Arabidopsis thaliana: one gene and its partner. The protein of the gene in region 2 purifies or fractionates together with the protein of the main gene of each other region. This does not show direct contact. Each region holds a gene or a part of one and is shown on either strand. Other genes may lie near its edges.

What was found.
Region 1: the proteins of AT5G37740 (region 2) and PYR1 purify together in Arabidopsis thaliana (affinity purification with western blotting, with the first as the bait; one study listed by BioGRID). This does not show direct contact.

What each region holds. Positions count from the first base shown.
Region 1 is NC_003075.7:9,927,050-9,930,535, reverse strand, and holds PYR1 (Polyketide cyclase/dehydrase and lipid transport superfamily protein), read right to left. Parts: upstream 1,950-3,486; 5' UTR 1,745-1,949; coding exon 1,169-1,744; 3' UTR 661-1,168; downstream 1-660. UniProt on the Arabidopsis thaliana protein: Receptor for abscisic acid (ABA) required for ABA-mediated responses such as stomatal closure and germination inhibition. Inhibits the activity of group-A protein phosphatases type 2C (PP2Cs) when activated by ABA. Can be activated by both (-)-ABA and (+)-ABA.
Region 2 is NC_003076.8:14,989,900-14,993,660, reverse strand, and holds AT5G37740 (Calcium-dependent lipid-binding (CaLB domain) family protein), read right to left. Parts: upstream 1,613-3,761; 5' UTR 1,514-1,612; coding exon 1,403-1,513; intron 1,325-1,402; coding exon 1,295-1,324; intron 699-1,294; coding exon 603-698; intron 530-602; coding exon 230-529; 3' UTR 99-229; downstream 1-98. UniProt on the Arabidopsis thaliana protein: Stimulates the GTPase/ATPase activities of Obg-like ATPases. Mediates the transient calcium-dependent interaction of PYR/PYL/RCAR abscisic acid (ABA) receptors with the plasma membrane and thus regulates ABA sensitivity.

The sequences.
Region 1 (3,486 bases), on a different chromosome or scaffold from region 2:
CTAATTTTTCAATCTACCTTTGTGTCGGCGTTTAATAACCAAGTTGGCAACTTGCAACATTTAACCAAGCTGGCACAACTTGCACCAACATCATCATCACCTTTGCCTTAATTAGAAGATCTTCGTCTTAAGTTTGCAAATAGGAAATTAAAAATAGTACTATACAAAATATAAAAGTGGCCTTTCGCTATTGTCTCGATCCAGCTGAAATTCGATAATAAAATATACAAATTGTTATAGTATCATATAATGGATTCCCCACATCAAATTTTGTAACAATAAATTATATAAAACATGATGGTGATATATTCAAGTCAAGTGGGACACTAGCCTGACTATAGTGCAAAAGGTAACCCGAATCTGAATGAAAAACGGCACACACTTTTAAAACCATCTTCGTTAAAACTTAAAACACTTCCACTTATGGTTTTTTTAGTCTTCTCTATCTCTTCCTTCACAATTTGTTTTATCGTTTTACCACTCTTAAAAAAGTTGTTGTTTGGTTAATAAATCGGGAGTTCATGTGTTACAAAGTTTTTTTTTTTTTTGGCAACCGATATGTTACAAAGTTTGTTCATGGGAAAAAAAACTAAAGTTTTGTTCATGGACATTATGTAAAAGTAATCGATAAAAAAGCGAAATCTATGAAAAGTAATTACAATTTCATACGAATCACACACTAAATCTACCATACTTAAAGCAATAACAGCAAAAAACACGTGAAAAAAATCTTATCCCCATGTTTTTTTAACAAAAGGAAAAGAAAAGGAAAACCTTTCTTTTTTTTTACATTCAAAGAAAAGTAAAACCTTACACGAATGGTTATTTACTTTTTTTTTTTTTGTGTCAAATAAACCTTTGGTAACTTTATAGTAAGTTTTTTTGTAACTTTTTATGAGAGTTTGTTGCATAGCCGAAAATTTTGACTTACTCGCCGGAATATACCTAACGAAAATGGAAAGATTCATAGTTATCCACAAACATAAAATGCCCAAAATAACCTTGCACGTCATTCTCATCATAAGAAAATGGTAAAAATATGACTATATGAGGTTAAAAAAGCAAAAACAGACAAAAGAAGAAGAGAATCTTATACGAAGCAACATAAATAACATTTCTGGATTTTGTTTTTAATAAAAGAAATTAAATCATATTTTTTTCTTCATTTTCACGTCACCTGAGAACCACTTCCGTCACCGGAGTTACGAGCCATAGCTTCAGCAACCGTCGCGAGTTTCTGCAAATTAAGCTTCACAACCGTATCAGCAAACATACGAGTATCATCCTCCGAGTTACCTTCCGGCATATCAACGACGTAAGATTCCAAAACCACCGTCCAGATCCGATTCTCTTTCTCGAACCGATGCACCGTCGTAACGGATTTGTAATTCGTCAGCCTATGTTCGCCTCCGATGATACTGAATCCGGTAACTCTCCGTTCGTCGTCGAGTATATCGAGTCTTTCCGTTGATGTGTTCGCCGGTAATCCACTGATGACGATCACGTCGCGCGTGCATCCGACGCGCATCTCGAAGTTTTGTTCGACGGAGCAGGATTTGATGAAGTGTTTGTATGTTTGTGGTTTGTCGAATCGTCGTACGATTGACCAGACGAGTTCCGGAGGCGCGTGGATTCGTTGCGCGTGGAGTGATGAACAGCTTCCTGGATCGAGTTGGTATGTGTGGAACTCGGCGATTGAGTTTTTTAGTTCCGATCGTTCTTCTGGTGTTAACTCCGAAGGCATGGTTGTAATTTGGATCTTTTTTTTTTTTTTGTGAAGTTTTTTTTGTTTTGTTTTATTTATCCAATTGGTTTGAGATTCACCATTGAAGACGACGACGAGCTTTTAGACTCTCTCTCTCTTTATTTAGCGTTGAAATCTCTCTGTGTTGGATTTTAGAGGGAAGATGAAGGGTAAACATGGAATTATATTAAATAGTAAGGGTAAAGTAAGAAATATATATACGTGAGAGTGGAAGGGTGTATAATGCAAAAAATGGAATCTGTTTATATTTAAAGAAAGATGACCTGGAGTTTCTGTTATAAACTATTGGATTTGTTACTTATTCAAGAGAATAAGTCTTATTTTCGTATAAGTTTCTTTTTTTTTAAAGAGTGTGGTGATTTTATTTTATTGTTTAAGAACTCATATTCGTAGGTTTTATTTGGTGAAAAAAATGAAATCTTAGAGATGAAAATTGTTTGTAGTTTTTTATTTTGTCATTTGAAATTATCAAAAACAATTTCATATTTTTATAAGTTTTGTTTATATGTTTCTTTAGTCGTTGAAAACAAATATACTCACGTTTCATTAATTCTTTTAGATATCATTTTGGTTGGGTATTATATTTAGTGACAAATCTAATGAATCTTTGACAAATCTACAATTTGCAACAATAAAATTATTTTTCTTTAACAATAAAATAAAAAGATTTTTTTATAACTAAAAATAAATATATATGCAAAGGAGTTGTGATTATTAAAAAAATAAATTAAGTGTCGTTAGCTCAATTGGTAAAGATTTTAGGCGAACCTTAGAGGTCGCCAGTTCGAGTGACGCTTGAGACGAAACTAATATTACATTATGTGGTTTCGGGTCTAGAGGGATTACGGACTTCGGTCCAGAACCTCCTGTTATTCAAAAATAAAATTAAAAAAATAAAAAAGAGAAATATATTATATTTAATAAACATTAAATAAATAACATTTTAAGAGGAGTTTTTAAAAAGATGATATAAAGATCAACTTTTTTGGACTTGATTCACACTTGTTCTTAAAAAAAAGTTGTAGGGAGAAAATTTTGGGAGAGAAACGGTGGAAGAGGACATCCGAGAGAGACCTTATTATACAGTACAAGATTTACTAGGAACAAACAAGTGGAGAGGAATCTTTTAGCAAGGTGGTAGGGAAGAGACTTCAAAGAGAAAACTCGCAGAGAAAATGCTCCGAGAACAGATTGATAAGAAAAAGGCATGAACAAGTTTGACAAGGAAGAGCCCTTCATAAGGATGCCATTTTAATTTTGAAGTTAAAAGTAGTAAAATTATTTTTAATATATTTATTACGCAAACACCTTGTTATTGAGTTTATAAGCACTTGTTGATTACTGAAAGAATCAAAGAATTGGTAACAAATTTACATGATATATACATTATGTAGGGAAGACAAGAAAGATTTCGAGTTTGAACTCAACAAATGGGTGGGGGCTGGAGCGCAAGCTGTGTTTAGTAAAAGTAGAGAATGATTAGTTTAGTCAAGCTTGCGTTTGGCTTAATCATAAAGAAAAGAATGTGACTAACTAACGATATCCAATCCACTTGGTCTATAAGTATATGTATACTAACAATTTTGTCGGAAATTGAGCTTAAACATTGTGTGAGACTTGTTGCGGGTATGGTGGGTCGTCGGAAAGGGAGCGGAGATGTGAACCGAATACTTCCGTCGATGGTTCCGGTTCAGTGCCACTGCCGCAACGCCGTAGGTCAT
Region 2 (3,761 bases):
ATTCACGCTAATAAGACAGGATATTTATGTAGATATCCAAATGTTTACACTTACTCCTCATGGAATTGCAAACTTTTTGGAATCAAACAAGAGAAAAAAAAAACGAAATGAGTTTATTACACAAGCCAGTTTGAGATTCTTTCATTGACCAGTTTTAAACTGCACCATAGTTCTAGTTTCTAACCATATGCACAAGGGACTAATAAAGATCGGATCGATATGATTTGACCTAAATACCCCTTGAACCCGGGACATCGATCCACTCGAGCTGTAGCTCAACCTCTCCACACTCCACGTGCTGGAGTCTAAGGAACATATTCTGGACAATCTTGCCTTGGTTCAACACAATGTGGCTTGATTCAGACAAACAATTTTTTCTGCTCGGCTCTATCTTCTTTATTATGGTCCCATTAGGAAGTCCTGGTCCGAGCTGATGGGCAAATTTAATAGCTTCAATAAATGGACCAATGTGGAACTCGGCTTCTCCCATCTTGTCATCCGCGGAGAGCAAGTCATAGTCATAAACCGTCTGCATCATAATTCCCACCGCTTATCATTCTGGTTCAGCTATCATGCTACAATATAATGTAAGGATTACTTACAAGTTTAATCGGGAGATTCGGATCAGTCACGGAAAGTGTCAAGTCGTCGTTCCACTCGGGGTTTACACTATGTTTCACCACGCGTGTTTTCAACTTCTGTATCACAATCACAAACAAAAGATTCAAGAACTAGCAAATGCTTTTGATTGATCTTAAGGTAAGTCAAAAGGCGACAACACAAGTTACAAATATTTCGTGGTGGAACCAGAAGAGATTGATGTTGACATCAAAAAATCAATGGCTTTTCACCAATATTCCAATGTTCATAAAGATCTCATGTGCAAAGGACCCACTAATATGAAACGAAGCAAAAGTCTACTTCTTCATTTACATGTATGCAAATTATAAACTATATAACTCAAACTCTATTCAGAGAAGGTATTAACTGGTTATTAATTTGGATTAGGTTAAGACAACTCATAACTAGTACTATTCAGACATATACCAAATCAAAAGTCAGAGACTTCACATTTAGCTTGTAAAGATTAGGTATAACTAAATATGTGATGTCAACCCTCAAAAACTGCCTCCAATCCATTATTGATAACCAAATTTTTAATCAAATTTCTAGTTAGTTTTGAGATCTACAAAAAGAATCAATAATCCACTGTCAAATTATAAAAGACCTCATTGAGTTTCACTACATAGACTCATCAATAATCTTATCTCTTTTATAATAAAAGTTTTACTACCGACCAACAGTTCAATAAACGCATCAGATTCTACTAGATGCATAACCAGATTTATTCTAAGATGCAAAACAGAATTGGCTAAAATGGAAGAGAATAAATTTTTGGTACCTGTTTACCGCAGTGAACGACGATGTAAGGATCACTGCTTGAGATGTCTCTAATGGCGAGATTCACACCTCTTTTCACATGAATTCGAAGAAGACCTACAAGATTCTCCATTGTTTGTTTTTCTTTTTGTTTTTTTCTCTCGTAGAAAGTTTGTTGGAGTGGGTGTGATGATGAGAGACTTGGAGAATTCGGACAGCTCTGATGAGGTTTTGTGACTTTTGTCTATTTTCTTATATAGATACGGAACTGATTTTATCTTCTTTATTTTTCCGAGGATGGATATATTGTAGACTTTTCTGCCTCGAGCCACCTCTGTCTCTTTTTTACTTTAATTGTTTACCATTTCTAAAAAGACATGTAAAACAAAATAGATTATTGGAAAACAAGAAATTAAGTGAACAATACAAAAATAATAATAGAGGAACACAAAAAATACAAAACAAACGTTGAGAAACCGAAGAGATTCTAACTAATTTTAATAATTTTTCTAAATCATATGCTTCATCCTTTTTATTAAATTGTGGAGGTTGAAGATGTTGTACTATATTTTTCTAAAGTTACAAATTCTTACAATCATTTGTTTCTTTTTCTTTTAATTTAAAATATTGTATTGTCCAAATTTGTCTTACTCGTTTTTAGAGAGTGTTATGTTAATTCATTAGCTGGTTAATTTTTTTTTTAATAAGAATTCTGACCTACTTTGCCTCTTAAAAATTTATGATTTTTTATATGATATGTTTTTGTTTTGTTGTTTGGTGTTTTTTCCTCTTATTTATTATAATTGAGTTGAGAAAAAAAAAACTAGTACTTTTAGTTTTGGATTAGATGGCAATAGGTCGTGTAAAGGTTTTTAGGGAATTTAAATGTTAGTTTGAATTAGAAAACCAAATGTTAAAACTGTATTATCCGGGGGAGGTGACGGATTAGTCAATTTCTATGGGTATTTTACCGACTATTTAAATAATTTTTGTCGTATTCAATTGACCAATACACTCAATTATTCGTCTCGATGATGCAGCTAATTAGAAAGTTAGTATTTAATTACGCAATTAATTTTTAATTACGGGCACATGTCACGCCAAATTTGGATTTGACCAGCAAATTAGAGTTTGAAGACTTTAATTCTTTTTTCCTTAACTATAAACAAAGGTCTGGTACGTATTTGATTTCCATCACCATAACTATAAACAAAGGAGTATGATTTTGTTGCGCGAAAATTTATTTTTTCTAGCCTTCCAAAATTTTCATGCAACTAACCAAAAGTGGCAGTGTAAATTGGTAATAAATCAGTATAATTAGAAACAATCATTGACTAAAAAACTATACACAATATTACAATATATTATGGACCAAAAGTTATTGTATTTTATAAGATTTCCAAAATTTCATGCAACTAATAAAATTAGGATTAATTATAGAAAAACCATAATAAAGTATGGTCTATTATGAATTTAGCCATATTCTCGAGTGATTATAAAGACGGATATTTTTGTTTTTTCTAAAATATTAATTTGCCTTTATTATTTTTTCTTCTTTAAAATTTTAATTGGGTCTTGAGATATAATTTTGACGAAAATGACTTAAGATTTGCTCATGATTCACAATCATATACTTTTCAGTTATTGCATACATGATTGTTCTGAGTTCTTTAGACATTATCTTTTACGGTTAAGATGATTCGATCCGCATCTATAATTAGAGAATTTGGGTTCTATAACATCATCTCTTAGAGCTTAGATATCTTACATCAAAACTTGTTTAATTAGTTCTATTGGATTCATCGAAAAAGGTTGGTCGTATAAACGTTGTGTGAATCATCGAAGCATAAGGAAACGATATTGATGGAGTCGAAAATAATGATTTTGATGGAATGTAGAGTCGGTGTTAATAAACAAATTTGATTATCACGACGGAGAGAATTGCAGTCGATGGAGACGGTGAGGGTTGTTGGTCTCATGACGGAAAAAACGAATTGGATTATCATCAACAAATTTGAAGGCGAAATCGTCATTTTGCGGACCAAACAGTACCCAAGCTTATAAGTCCAAGTAGAATATACTTCTATTCTAGTTTTTATGTCAAAATATGCCCATATGTACAAAAGGCTCAACAAAAATAGATCAATTTTAAGTTTAAAAAGTGCCTACACATTTGTGGTCTACTAGTGGTTGAGAATTGAAGAAATGTTGAAAGGAACTAATACATGTTCAATCCACCTAAGAAACAAAAAAAAAACATATTTGTATGAAAAGTATGAGTTTCGACCAAATACGCAAACAATTCATTTGGTAATTAGTAATAGGCGATTTGATGATCCAAGATATTACTCGTAACACATTTGAAAACTTGAGACACGGAT